2 linked regions of the Oreochromis niloticus genome follow. The main gene of each other region encodes a partner of the protein of the gene in region 2 in a complex. Links are inferred from orthologs where the notes say so. Each region holds a gene or a part of one and is shown on either strand. Other genes may lie near its edges.

Region 1 (6,981 bases), on a different chromosome or scaffold from region 2:
GTCAGTTCAAAGGAAGGAAGTCCTTGAAGATAGAGCTAAAATAGCTTGTTTCAGACAGCGGCTGAATTGAAGAGCTGCACAAAAGGAGATAACAACAAAGCCACTCTATTCCAGTGAGCATAATAGGTCCCCTTTAAACTTAACTGATCAAACACTTCAAAAAAATGTCTGCTTTTGCAGTGTAGTTGCTACAGATCTGATAATAACCTCCACCCAGGCCAGCTTGCACTACAAGATATGACGTCTTTGCTCCCAACTGACACAATGAAATTACAACACACCAAAGCCAAAACAGAGACATGGGTGTAATCAGCATCTCTGAACTTAAAATACTTGCACTGGTCCATAAATATTTCAGTAGAGTAACACACACAGAAAGAAAATTTGCTTATTATTCAAGATAGTTCTTAACTACACAGATTACTTTTTTCTTCGTAATATCTTAGTATATCTTCTGGTAAGGACCAGTAAGTTAACTCAAAGCAATACAGACTATTATAAATATTTATTTAGTCGATCAAGTCAGTGTTCAGTGTTGCAGTAAAACCTGAGGTCACTCATTAAGTTGGCTGGGTGGATAATGTAATAAGATTAGATGCGTACCAACAGACTGAAACACAAACTAATTTATTAAACTAACTTCTGCCCAGCAAGAATGTGGATCAACCACGCAAAACATATTTGTCTTCCACACTAACGCTGTTGAAAGCAGAGGCCAAAAGAATAGCAAGTTAGGTCACATGATCCCAAAACCTCCCCAACTTTTCCCCTCTCCAATGAAACCAGGAAATCTGAAGCAGAAACCAAGCCGCATCCGACATGCTTTTTGTGGCAGTCAAACATTTGCCAAATTAACAGTGAGGCGGTGAGGTCACTTGGCACCTGTGGATCATGACATCAGCATGAAGTCCAGGTGAGAGAGAGAAAGCGAGCAGCTTTTACTGTCTGTGGCAGAATCATCACTCCATTGTCCCAGTTGTTTTCCCAGCAATAAGTGACACTGTTTCTATTGTTGCTGGTACGTCAAAAGGTAAAAAAAAAAAAAAAGAAAACAGAGGGATTATTTTCATCCCATAGGACACAGAGATGAAGCCAGCCTTTTACACACAACATGCACCTCACCAAAGAAAAGACCTCAGTCACTGGGGAAATTACAGAGCAGCCATTACCGAGTGTAACAGAAGCTCAGTACTCATGGTGAAAAGAAAAGAGAACAACAACAAAAAATGGCGTAACCACAGAGAATTGCAAATGAAGTTTTCCACAACATCATAACACGCACCATTTTCATCTGCTTTGAATAAAAAAAAAAATAAAAAAATTGAGCAGAACACATGGTACAAAGTTTAGGTATCGGTTCAAACAAACCTTTTAGTCAACAATGACTCATGAGTTTGCCTATCACTTTAGCAGTGTACAGCAACTCCTAAAGTGTGCCTAGCCTGACTTATTTTACTACTCTAAATGATCTGCACAGCAGAAGGAAATTAAATTTTTCCCCAAATCAATCACTGGAGACCACTGATCTGTCTGAATCTCAGGACACCTATACGTAGCTTTGCCAACATACAGGTTTAGCAAGGGTTTTACAAGTGAAGTTAAAAAACAATTCAACATGTTCCTCCATTTGTTTCCAGTAGCCATGCCTCACAGGTGCCAAAAACAACCCAGCGTTAGCATCCCAATTGTGGTGTGTGGCTCACAGTGGCACTAATCCTGTACATAGCACTAATTGGATAATCATTAGTCCTCACATGGTTGTGTTTTTAGGTGTCATTTTAAAAATCAAGAAACAGCTGTTACATGTCAAAATGCCCAATGGAGGGAACAAATTCCAAGATCCATGCTTCAAGGTTGAAGTAAGACTGTTTCACCTTGTCAGCCCTCATTAAATTCACCCGCACAGCATCAACATGCAAACAGAGTAAATGCTGTTCTTTTCTATATTAAACACACCTTATGAAAGGTACATGAAAGTGAACAGCCTACAATGCTAAAATAATTTGTCAGCACGTGGATTTATGTTTGCCCTGTAAACACGCATAAAGTGGAAAACCAGCACGATAGCAAATCAAGGTCACCATGAAATGTCTCAAGTTAATTGCTGCCGATTTGTGTCGAGTGCTCTCCCAGGACAAAGTCCCACTCATCCGAATTACTGCACACTGAGTGGAAGTCTAATCTGCATGCATGTTCTTGCCCGAGAGTAGTTACAACATGCTCTTGTTTCCGTCTTTATAACCAAAAGCCTATGTGCATGTCATCTTGATAGCCAATGTGCCTTCTCCAGTCTGCCGACCAGCCTGCATATGTGTGTGGGTTGGGCTACACACTGATTGTCTCTCAAAGGAGGTGGAATCCTGTTAAACAAGCTACTACAGAGCAAACTTGTTATGTTTCTTTTTACTTCAGGGTGATCTCACTCATTGCTGTTGCAGGAGACAACAACAAGACCAGCCTGATGACAATGATAGAGCCAGTATGGTAAGGAGGACGGTAGATTATAAGCAATGCATCTCAAAAAACAGTGATGTCAAGTCTGTTTCCGTAATTTCTAAACGCTGGCCAAAAACAGAAACAAAAGAGGAAGATGGTAAAGGAAGTTATGTCTGCTACAGAAACATGTTGAGGAAATGTCAGTACTGTAAAGAGAGACAGTCTGCTTTGAGGTCAAAGTTTTGTGTCAAAATGCAATAAGCAGCTGTAAAAATACAAGTAGGTGACTTTCTGTCTACACTGCGATACCCCCTTACCCCATACACCTTGCCAGTTACGACCCAATAAAACTCCCTCCCTTGTAAAACAAACAGTCATCCCTCCAGCTTTTAAAATTGTTGGTAATGTAAATTCTGTAGGACTCTCAGGGTGTGGCCTGTAGTTATCAATATGAGAACAAAAGGGGGAAAAGCCCATTGAGCTAGATTGTAGGAAAGATTACGTGCACTAAGGTCTATTGAAAAAACGGCAACCCAGAACAAGCCTTTAATCATATTAGAAAAATACTAGGCAGGACAAACGAACTTATCAGCAAATGTAAGACAAGAGTTGGTGATCTAATCGAGTTGAAAAAAAAAAAATTGTAAGAAGTAAAGAAAAGAGAGAAAAAGCCCAAGTAAGCTTCTTTTTAAGCTCGTAACACAAATATCACACTACATAAATACACAAGAACACTGTATCTTAAATTGCTGAAGCTACAGCGCAAGTGCGTAAATCAATATTGACGTTACGTACTGGGAAAGTGACGTTAGCTTAGCTTTATGCGACTGGCATTTCCAAAAGTACCGTACCTCCCAGACCAAAAAAAAGGGCTGTTTGACAACGTACGACCAAGCATGGCCTGTTAGAAGGGCGTAACACTTCACTAGCTCATTTAACTATTATCACTTACCTGCCAACGAAATTCTCCAAGACCGAGCTTTTTCCAGCGCTCTGTCCACCGACCACCGCGATTTGAGGAAGGTCTAAATTACAACTCTGGCCAATGGAGCTGAATGCGTCTTGAAGCTTGTTGATGAGGGGAATCAGGTCTTCCATGCCCCGGTTCCCCATGGCTTCGTGAGCTTGAAGAGCCCCTTCAATTCAACACAGACCGGAGGCTAATGCTAGCCGCGCTAGCGAGCTCAGTAACGTTAGCTTAGCAGCAAGGTGCTCTCGGGTTACTCTGAAGTGCTAAAACCCCGCCTCTTCAGCTCGGGCTTTTATTCACTTTTTGAATACTTGTGCGCTTCCCAGTAATGCAGTTCACACCAATATCATATCATATAATAACAAAACCCCTCAACTAAATACCCAGACAGTCGAAACGGACGGAAAACTCGCAAGCAAAACTTCCTCTACACAAACACCATCCGGTCACAGAAGATGACATCCTATCGGTGCCGGTTACTATAGCCCCGCCTCTTTTGCACAAATAAAAGCGGTTTGTTGGCTAATGTTGCTGCCGCTTCACCAAAATTCGTTTTGATTGGACGTCTTAAGGCTCAAATCACATAATTAATTTTTAATTGGTCGTCACGATTGTCAGTTGGAGGTCCGTTCATGTCACGTGATCAGTAAAACATGGCTGCCCCCATAGAGTGTGGAGCTAATACAGAAACTATAGAGAACAACATGTCCCTAAAGAAAGCTTTGTCTCCTCTCTCTCTGCGAATTGTTGCTGAATGCCCAGTAACTAAAGCGAGAGCCTGTGATTTAATACTGCCTCATAGCACCGTCAGTACCCCGGTTTTCATGCCCGTCGGGACTCAGGGGACCCTGAAGGGAATCACTGTGGATCAGCTGGAAGATCTGGGATGTCAGATTTGCCTTGGAAACACATACCACCTTGGAATGAGACCGGTATGCAGGTTTGCTATAACGCAAATTTAATTTTTATCTCGTGTTTTACTGGGCATAAACCATTTGTTGACGATTTCATGTCAGTTTTCTTGTGTAAATGTCTTTTCTGCTGCCTAAAGGGTCCTGATTTGATTGAGAAAGCCAATGGTTTGCATGGGTTCATGAACTGGAAGAGAAATCTTTTAACTGTGAGTTTAACTTCACATTTTATTTGTCATACGTGGGTGACAAATAAAAGTACAACACGTGGCTGGAAATCTTTGTCTTAAAAACCACGCGTTTCTTTTTCTTTGCTCACAGGACAGTGGGGGGTTTCAGATGGTGTCTCTCGTCGAGCTCTCCGAAGTTACGGAGGAAGGAGTCAAGTTCAGGTCCCCCTACGACTGCAAAGAAATCTTACTAAGTCCTGAGAAGTCTATCAGCATACAGAACAGTCTGGGTCAGCAAGGAGTAAAATAACTGACTCAGCGTTAACCATCAGATACTCTGAGCTTTTGTCAGTATTTCTGTGGCTGACGGACAGCACCTTCATGTTTCTTTGTGTTCTTCCAGGGTCAGACATCATGATGCAGCTGGATGACGTGGTCAGCAGTACTGTGACAGGACCACGGGTAGAAGAGGCCATGCATAGATCCGTTCGCTGGCTGGACCGCTGCATAGCAGCCAATAAAAATCGAGACAAACAAAACCTCTTTGCCATCATTCAGGGAGGATTGAATGCAGAGCTGCGCAAGGCCTGTCTAGATGGTAAAAAACAAACAGAGGCTGATGCTTACACTGAGATTCCTTTAATGATAAATATATTTTGGCTGATGTGCTTTACAAACACACATTGATATAAAGGCTGAAATTTGACTGTTAAGTCCTTTAAGATCCCCCGTTTGGGATCAGATTGATCTAAAATTGGCAGGCATGCTGGAAGAAAAGCACACAGGGAAATGTTCTTGCTTTTTGATGGTACTATCTTATATATTCAGACAGTATGTTAGTTAGGTTAAAGTGGGGGAATTATTAGTTTTGTTTATCACAAACTATCAGTGAAATGTGAAGATGCTGATGCATCCTCACCACTGTCTGCTCAGCTGATGTGCCCTCTGCTACATGTGCTGCAGAGGATATGTGCTGAGTAACAGCTTCTCGAATAAAAAAAAAAAAAGCCATATTAGACATACGTGGGGTGAGCTAAAATTTGGCACTTTTTGTGGCACTATTCACTGTATTTTTCCAGCATTTTAGAGCTGAAATAACTTAAATGCAGAATATAGTCACATTAAATTCTCCGGGCTGAAAAAACACACTTGGGCTGTGTTTTAAAAAAATCAATTTTACACCCATTCAAATGTCAGAAGTCAAAATCAAATCTCATCTTTTTTCAGCTTGTTTTTTTGTTTTTTTATAACCTGCTTTTGAGCATCAATATCAGAGAGACATAACCGTTTCAACACCACAGTGTCCCCAGTTTACAAGTTAATCTTGGTAACCCTGGGTTTTTTATGTGTTTTCTAATAATTCACTGGAGAAAACATCAAAAAGCACATTTTTGTAAACTGCACAGGGTTATATTATTACATGAGATGGGTGTCTGGTCAAAACAAGTTACAGTAAATACATTTACCTACATTTGATACCATTTTATAGCCGTGATTTATTCTTTGTCAAATTTTCTAACGTCTTAAAAAATCTGTGTATCCACCAATATTTACTTTAAGAGCCTAAAAACTGGGAAAACATTTTTTTTGGAATAGCTTCATAACACATACCAAGTTTTTGTTGTTTTTTTTTTTTTTTTTACAAGGAAATTTGTTGCTTCTAAGGAGCTCAGGTGGGAGGCACTTACTGGATTTTCTTTCTTTTTTTTCCATGGACTTACATGACTGTATGCTGATGACCACTAGATCTATTATGTGCTGATACTGGTCAAAATTAACAGGCAATTAACATGAGTGGGTCTCCAGTAACTAATCTTGCTTTTTCTTTTTCTTCATGTACCGATATTGAAAATCAAGCTGAATAATTTCATCATTTTTCCATCTTATTTATGGAGGATGAAAACATGCTAAAATGCCTTGATCCCTTTTTCCTTTTACACTTATTTCAGTAAGTGGAAAAGTGGCAGCATTAACTAGAAAGTTTACATGGTTCAGTCTATTGAGGAAGCATATGTGAATCAAAGATATCAGGGCGTGGTGAGGAACTAATCCGAGTTATTTAAAGGGCCATGCAGTTTGGAAAGGACATCAGAATTCAAGATAAAGGATCAGACTTTCACTTAAGATATTGTTTTGTCTTCCTGTAGAAATGACTAAGCGTGACGTTCCTGGTTTTGCCATTGGTGGACTGAGTGGAGGAGAAGAGAAGGATGACTTCTGGCGGATGGTGACACTAAGCACTGATCACCTGCCTCGGGAAAAGCCCCGCTATCTCATGGGTGTAGGGTATGTTTACTGGTTTCACTGAAATCCATCATGGTAACCTGGTTGTTTACCTCCTGAGCCTGGTTCTGCTGGAGGTTTCTTCCTGTTAAAAGGGAGTTTTTCCTTCCCACTGTCTCCAAAGTGCTTACTCATAGGGGGTCATATGATTGTTGGGTTTTTCTCTGTATGTAATATTGTAGGGTCTACCTTACAATATAAAGCGCCTTGA
Region 2 (7,906 bases):
TGCTTCACATTATTGATGACCATTTTTCAACATTTCGAGCTTTAATATTGATTTCCTTCCACAGGGAGTGCAGAATTATTAGGCAAATGAGTATTTTGTCCACATCATCCTCTTCATGCATGTTGTCTTACTCCAAGCTGTATAGGCTCGAAAGCCTACTACCAATTAAGCATATTAGGTGATGTGCATCTCTGTAATGAGAAGGGGTGTGGTCTAATGACATCAACACCCTATATCAGGTGTGCATAATTATTAGGCAACTTCCTTTCCTTTGGCAAAATGGGTCAAAAGAAGGACTTGACAGCCTCAGAAAAGTCAAAAATAGTGAGATATCTTGCAGAGGGATGCAGCAGTCTTAAAATTGCAAAGCTTCTGAAGCGTGATCATCGAACAATCAAGCGTTTCATTCAAAATAGTCAACACTGGGGTGGCTGTGGCTCAGGTGGTAGAGCAGATCAGCTACTGATTGGAAGGTTGGTGGTTCGATTCCTGGCTCCTCCAGTCTGCATGCCAAATATCCTTGGGCAAGATACTAACCCCAAATTGCCTTCCGATGTGTTCATCTGTGTGTGAATGCTTATTAGTTGCACTTGAGCTTAGAAGTGCTTGTGTGAGTGGGTGTGTCTGGGTGAATGAGGCATGTTGTATAGAGCGCTTTGAGTACTCCGGGAGAGTAGAAAAGCGCTATATAAGAATCAGTCCATTTACCATTCATTTAACACCACCACTGAACAAGACACACAAGCTGAAACGTCAAGACTGGGCCAAGAAATATCTCAAGACTGATTTTTCTAAGGTTTTATGGACCGATGAAATGAGAGTGAGTCGTGATGGGCCAGATGGATGGGCCCGTGGCTGGATTGGTAAAGGGCAGAGAGCTCCAGTCCGACTCAGACGCCAGCAAGGTGGAGGTGGAGTACTGGTTTGGGCTGGTATCATCAAAGATGAGCTTGTGGGGCCTTTTCGGGTTGAGGATGGAGTCGAGCTCAACTCCCAGTCCTACTGCCAGTTTCTGGAAGATACCTTCTTCAAGCAGTGGTACAGGAAGAAGTCTGCATCCTTCAAGAAAAACATGATTTTCATGCAGGACAATGCTCCATCACACGCGTCCAAGTACTCCACAGCGTGGCTGGCAAGAAAGGGTATAAAAGAAGAAAAACTAATGACATGGCCTCCTTGTTCACCTGATCTGAACCCCATTGAGAACCTGTGGTCCATCATCAAATGTGAGATTTACAAGGAGGGAAAACAGTACACCTCTCTGAACAGTGTCTGGGAGGCTGTGGTTGCTGCTGCACGCAATGTTGATGGTGAACAGATCAAAACACTGACAGAATCCATGGATGGCAGGCTTTTGAGTGTCCTTGCAAAGAAAGGTGGCTATATTGGTCGCTGATTTGTTTTTGTTTTGTTTTTGAATGTCAGAAATGTATATTTGTGAATGTGGAGATGTTATATTGGTTTCACTGGTAAAAATAAATAATTGAAATGGGTATATATTTGCTTTTTGTTAAGTTGCCTAATAATTATGCACAGTAATAGTCACCTGCACACACAGATATCCCCCTAAAATAGCTAAAACTAAAAACAAACTAAAAACTACTTCCAAAAACATTCAGCTTTGATATTAATGAGTTTTTTGGGTTCATTGAGAACATGGTTGTTGTTCAATAATAAAATTATTCCTCAAAAATACAACTTGCCTAATAATTCTGCACTCCCTGTATCTTGGAAACCAGTGCTTTTAATTCCTTGCACAATACTTGTAAGATTAATGGTGTGATGGCCAAGTCAGGCAACATTTTGTACTGTAATGCAGACTGAAATAGTACTGTGCAAAAGTCTTCAGCCACCTTTATATTTTCTTTATATTTTGCAGGAAATGTGAATTAATTTATTATAAAATGTGCAAACATACATGGAAATGCAGTGTAAAAGGCAAAAACAGTTTGTACAATTCTAATGAACTGAATGCTTGAAAGTCGATATTTGGTACGAACACCTTGATTCGTCAACACAGCCTGAACTCTGTTAGGCAGTTTTCTTCTAATTTCTTAAAGTAGTGTTCAGGAATAGCTCTCCAGGTTTCTTAAAAGACAGTCAAAGCTCTTCTTTAGATGCTGGCTACCTTTTCTTCTGTTCTCTGTGAAGATGATCTCACGCTGCCTCAATAATGTTGAGATCCATGCTCTGGGGAGGCCAATCCATGACTGACAATGTTCCATTGTGTGTTTTTCTATCCAGGTAGGATTTCACTGCATTGGCTGTGTGTTTGAGATCATAATAAAAAATTATGCTGCCAGTCAGATGCATTACAGCTGGCGTTGCAATGGTGGATCAAAATTTGATCCTATTTTTCTGAGGTCATAATTCCATCAATTTTTACAAGACCCCTAACACCACTGGTGAAATACAGCCCCAAATCACGACAGAGCATAAAACATGTTTAACACATAAATGTTGCACCTCCTCAATATATTTTGATGATTTGAAACAAAATTTTCAAACTTGGAGTCATCACTCCATCAAACCTGTTGCCACTGATTTTCAGTCCAGTTCTAGTGTACTTTGATATACCTTTATATAGAAAAACATTGAGACCTGGAGAACTATTGGTGAAGAAACTACAAGAAAGTATGGTTCTTAATAATAAAAATAAATGAGCGGTGGCCTGAGACCTTTGCACGGTACTGTATACTGATTGTTTTGAATACTCTTATAAAGCCTAGCAGTCAGAGGCCATTTGAAGCAATATAAAACCCACACTGAATTTTGAATGAGCCTTCCATAATCATGAGTAAATCTTCTAGAGGTCACTGTTTCTTTAAAGGTGTTCTGTACCACCTCGTCCATCAGGCCCACAGGTCTAATGGAGAAGGTCTTAATAAATAATGAGTTTTGGGTTATCTCATCAGGTAATATTTTATACCATCAAAGTTGTTGTAGTTTAAAGCAGCAGGCACAGCACTAGCTGATGCAGCTGTGCCTGTCCTCTCAGCAGAGCACATCAGGTCATCTTCATCCTCCAACTCCAACTCCAGCCGCAGCTTATTACTCAGCCAGTCACCTAAAAGGGCCTGAGCTGCAACAAACAACAGGCCATATATCATCATCCCTCTTGCTGTACTCTATGTGGTTATATAGATAGCATTTCTACACAGACAGGTCTATTAATTTTTTTTAAAGGCACCTACCTTCGCTGTAAGCCTCGTCATGATCTCTCAGCTGTTCAGTGCTTTGCAATGGTACAACTAGGCTGCTGATTCCTGAATGAGGTTTTTTGTGGGAGAAGACTTCCGACACAGCAAACTCTGAGGCCTTCTCCACTCGCTAAGGACAGGGAAAGGACACACACATGAAAAGCTGAAGTTACACAATTCCCAAACCCCCAAAGACATTCAACTCAATAATAAATAAAAAACATATATATAACTGAGCACACACATTTCTTACCTTCTTCCATTGATCAATATCACCTTTCTTTACATGAATCTGAAAGAAAGATTAGTGTAAGCTAATATTCTCTGTAAGAAACACCAAAGAGCTCTCACACACAAAAAAATGCTGGCCTCATGGTCACCTTTGAGTGCTTAAAAATGCCTAGACAGGCTCAGAGACACCTTGAGTTGCGGTGGCAGTCTGCAAATTGGAGGCTGAGCCAAGGGCCTAAAGTCTGCGGATTATTTCACAGAAAAGCTAAGCCACTGCTTCAAATCAGCAGATTAGTTCAAAATCATTTCTCACACGTCCAAAAGTCTGTGCCATTGCTAGCTGCCTGCAAGCATGTGAGTATCAGAGATAGGGCCGGGTGACATTTCTGAAAGGTCCCCTGACATGAGCCACGAGTTTATACACGGTAATAACACAGATGTGCCTTTTCTTCTTCCTTCAAGGCGCATTTAGCCAAATTATTTCCCTCTCTCAGGGATATTACTGGGGAAAGGTTTGGAAGGTGAAAATAGACTAAAAATACCTTTTTTCCCATTTAGATAAGAGAAAGGGTTGAAATGAGCTCATCGGATTCATTTTCTGGAACAGTGAAGCCACAGTTTCATTCCCCTACCTTTTTTTTTTTTTTGGAAAATGAAGTCCAACCAATCGTGACAGATGCAGCATAGCGTTCAGTTTAGCACAGTCTATAAATTTACACGAATCCAAAGACTAGACTTACCTTGTTTGCCGAGCCAACTCTTCTCCACCTAAACAGGTCAGGATTGTGACCTGGAAATGCCATCATCACCTGTTACAGCACTGCACGTTAATATGATGTAATCCCAGCTATCACATTGGTGTCTTTTCTTTACTAAAATCGTGCGCGAAGCGCAACAGTCAACATTTTTCAGTTTCTATCGTCAAAATATGCTCAAACGTTATTAGAAAAAGTGCTCGAAAACCTAAAAGCGGTGCAGATAACTCTCGTCGAGTTACTGTTATGGTGGATTCTGGGTAATGGAGTAAATTGGCTTTCTTTTTTGGCTAACTGCTCCACAAATTAAGATTTTCGGGACTACGTTTCCCACAAGACTGTAGCTGGGGGTTCAGCGTCTTGGGTAACCATAGCAATTTTGTTAGGCTCCTTCAGTGAGAACTGAAATTCACTATTTAAAAAAAAGATAACAAACATGTATTAATAAAGTAGTTAAAGTAGTTAAATACTTTGCTTTTAATTAAAGTCTTTCAATAATTTAATGTAAAATATTTATTTATTAGAATGTTTAATTCAATTATTAAAATATAATTATAATTTAAAGAGCTTTTCCTACATGGAGTGCCATCTATAACGCCACAATTGTATGTTTTGAGAAGAAAAAAAAGGTTCTTGAGATAACCCGAACTGTTTTTTCTGCGGCGCCTTCGCCGCTGATGACGACATATTTCTGCGACTTGTAGTTCCTGTCACCCCATGAGGTTTTGTTGGTGAGCTATTTGATTTTCAGCGTTTCTCACGTAAACAATCATCCCTGTGAGTGTGTAGGTTTTATCCAAGTGTCGGACTTAGAGCGGTAAATATTCCAAATACGTGTGAGTGGGAAGGCTAGCTAGCTACGTGGCTAAGTCAAAACCAGTAACACTTGTACTAGTTGTTGGAGAGAGTCCTTTTAGCGCTTCGACTGGAGTTTTTGCTATGGCTGGGAGCAGGATGCAACTGGAGCTGTCCCGTGTGGTTCAGGGAAGAAGTCGGCTGGGTGTCCTGAAGGGACTGGGCAGGACGGGGCAGCATTCACTGGAGATCCCGGGGTGTCTGCTGTACACACACTTTGGCACCGTTCCTCACCTCACTCAGGACACGCTGCACACGCTGATCAGCCTCCCCTCTGTCACTCAGATCACTTTGTCCCACATGTAAGCTGTCTCATTATGGAAATGCCATAGCAAGCACAGTGATCTCCTTTTATTTTTCAAATCTAACCCACATCTCAACCATTCTCCTTCTAGAGCTGAGCATCAGGAGGTGCTGGAGGAGTTTAAGGATGGATTCAGAAAATTCGCAGGTACAAATTTACATTTTTCAGAATTCCCTCTTTCTCTCTTTCCTTTGAGCATGTTTATCTTACAGAGAGTAATGAGAGCAGAAGAAGAAGAGGACGACAGGAGTTCAAGCAAGACAGCGTTGATTACGCATAAATTACGATGACACCCAGAGCTTATCCAATGTATTCATATGTATTCAGTATTGATTAATAGGTAATCTATCATCATTTCTTTTCTTTCTTTTTTTTTTTACCTAAATGGAGATTATGAAGTGTTGCAGAGGGGTTGACTGATTATCAGCCGATCTGATTATTGGAGCTGATATTCAGACTTTTTCCATTTATCTCTATTATTATTGTTGTTTCTTAGTAGATTTATGGCACGATAAATTAATTTAGCACATCTGACCAGTTACACATTTAACAGCACAGAAGACTACTGTGCCTGTGGGTGTAGAGTAGTGGATTTGTGATTGGAGCAGCTCCAGGGTGGCATATTACACGTTAACAAAAGAAAAAAAATCCATATAGAGAAGAGAGGTCATGATTAGCTTGAGGTCATGAACAGATAGCCAGACATTCTCCTTCAGGATGTTTTGGTAGGCGGCAGAATTCCTGGTTCTGTTTACCACAGCAAGTCTTCCAGGTCCTGAGGCAGCAAAGCAGCCCCGTCGCTGCACTCTTGAGTTAATTTTGGTCGGCCGGCCACTTCTGGGAAGGTTCACCACTGTTCCATGTTTTCAGCATTTGTGGATAATGTCTCGCACTGTGGTTTGCTGGAGTCCAACAGCTTTAGAAATGGCTTGATAACCTTTTCCAGACTGATAGATTGCAATAAAAAAAATTTTTTTATTTGTTCCTGAGTTTTCTTGGATCATGGCATGATTTTGGGTATTTTCTTTTGCTTTACTCCACTTTCTCATACAGGTCCTATTTAAGTGATTTCTCAATTGATAATGGGTGTGGCTAGAAAACTTGGGGGGGTAACGCTTCCCCCTTCATAATAAACACATTCATTTAGACATGTGTGGATAAACGCAGTCTGAGCTCCTCTAGAAGTACAGTAATGAAAACAAACGTGCAGTATTTTGGTGAATGTGCCATGCTTGCCAACCATATAAACCTTTAAAAAAATGGCAACTGCATTTTTATTTTAATACATTGAAAATTATTTAGTCTCCCGTTTAGGGAAGCTAAAATGCCAGAGTGGTGGGATGGGTAGGTGTAAATGAAGAAGCTGTGGATTTTAAAGCAAAAATGTGTTGCTGTGGACATGGCCTGGGCTTCACCCAGCCTCAGGCAGCCACTTTAAGAAAATTAGACATGTAACCACGGTATCATCGCTTGGAATAAACTATCATTGATTACTACTGCCTCTGCCTCTGAAGCCCCTGAAGGGAGAAGCAGTGATTGAATAGCCTTTGCTGCTATTAGACAGTTTTGTTTTCTCACCTTCTGATCCTCTGCAGCGGCTGGGTTTGCTGATAAGGACACGGCTCATTCCTCTCTCAGTCGTCACATTAACATGCAGAGTCGAAGCGCCTCGCTCTGTCACCTGGCTTCACGCTCGACCCTCTTAACCCCTTTGCTGCTGTGTTCTCTGTGAGTGATGCAGTTACGTCTGGTTTCAGGTCTTCATGATACTGTCCTCTACTGCTCCCTTCACGACCCTGCCACGCCCAGCCCGACGGGTTACACCACCACCAAGGTGACATTGCTCATGCTGTGGTAAACTAAAGGCCCTGGTGACTTTACTGCTGGGTGTGATCACAGGTGAAATGGGTTTTTCATATATTTTTGCTTTGTTATTAGACGGTGTCAGTGTGGGGCAGCGGTGGGCGGATAGAACTAACGGTGGCCAAGTTCATGGCTCTTCAGAAGACCGTACAGCCAGACTGGTACCAGAGCATGTACGACGGAGAGACCTGGCAGAACAGCGCCTCTCGCAAACGGGTCAGAAAGTCGGTGGATCGGACTCTCGCTCATTTGGACGAGTGTTTGCTGGTGCACCAAAAATCAAAGGTATACACTACACACACACTTTAGCAGCCGCTGAGCACGCTTGCATTTGCGAGTGAGTCATGCATCGCACAGACACACAAGACAAAGATTGACGTTAGTGCAGTTGTGACAGGGGCTGCTGTGCATCTGTACTACAGCTGGAAGCTCAGTGAGATTAGGATGAATTCATTATCAGTGGGTATCTACACTATCAGCAGGTGTGTGATGGTGCAGCATCAAGCATGACTAATAGAATAGTCTGCTTTGCTTTCTTTTAATTGCAGTCAAAGAGTGGCTCATTCCATGAGAGGGTGGACTGAGTAAAAAGGATTAATAGGAAGAGGTGCGGGGGAACTGTCATGACTCGTGCATATGACATCTTTGCTCTTTTACGCTTCAGTGGATAATAGATTTATTTTTTTTTTTAAACCGTT

What was found. The genes of interacting proteins can lie anywhere in the genome.
Region 1: the proteins of qtrt2 (region 2) and qtrt1 are in contact, whole or in part, in a crystal structure (PDB 7OVS), measured with the Mus musculus proteins. The link is inferred for Oreochromis niloticus from reciprocal best matches to the Homo sapiens genes QTRT2 and QTRT1. Residues at the interface, in NP_001343258.1 of Mus musculus: Arg39, Thr40, Gly41, Ser42, Ala43, Pro44, His45, Leu46, Thr47, His48, Gln49, Thr50, Asn53, Glu70, His71, Glu73, Val74, Glu77, Tyr78, Phe85, Ile86, Gly87, Phe119, Gln342, Glu343, Phe345, Tyr355, Asn359, His360, Ala363; in NP_068688.2 of Mus musculus: Thr50, Thr53, Met54, Lys55, Gly56, Ile57, Thr58, Thr59, Glu60, Gln61, Ser64, Arg80, Pro81, Leu85, Lys88, Ala89, Phe95, Met96, Asn97, Ala307, Lys308, Phe310, Pro320, Thr324, His325, Ala328, Phe329, Ala332, Leu333, His335.

What each region holds. Positions count from the first base shown.
Region 1 is NC_031969.2:22,907,241-22,914,221, reverse strand, and holds the start of qtrt1 (queuine tRNA-ribosyltransferase catalytic subunit 1), read left to right. Parts: upstream 1-3,974; 5' UTR 3,975-4,059; coding exon 4,060-4,338; intron 4,339-4,457; coding exon 4,458-4,526; intron 4,527-4,638; coding exon 4,639-4,777; intron 4,778-4,890; coding exon 4,891-5,085; intron 5,086-6,634; coding exon 6,635-6,773; intron 6,774-6,981. Other genes in the region: dnm2a (dynamin-2), read right to left, coding at 3,389-3,549.
Region 2 is NC_031974.2:18,640,299-18,648,204, reverse strand, and holds the start of qtrt2 (queuine tRNA-ribosyltransferase accessory subunit 2), read left to right. Parts: upstream 1-4,887; 5' UTR 4,888-5,125; coding exon 5,126-5,343; intron 5,344-5,436; coding exon 5,437-5,492; intron 5,493-7,102; coding exon 7,103-7,179; intron 7,180-7,283; coding exon 7,284-7,493; intron 7,494-7,906. Other genes in the region: ccdc191 (coiled-coil domain-containing protein 191), read right to left, coding at 2,930-3,082, 3,195-3,330, 3,454-3,492, 4,172-4,237. UniProt on the Homo sapiens protein: Non-catalytic subunit of the queuine tRNA-ribosyltransferase (TGT) that catalyzes the base-exchange of a guanine (G) residue with queuine (Q) at position 34 (anticodon wobble position) in tRNAs with GU(N) anticodons (tRNA-Asp, -Asn, -His and -Tyr), resulting in the hypermodified nucleoside queuosine (7-(((4,5-cis-dihydroxy-2-cyclopenten-1-yl)amino)methyl)-7-deazaguanosine).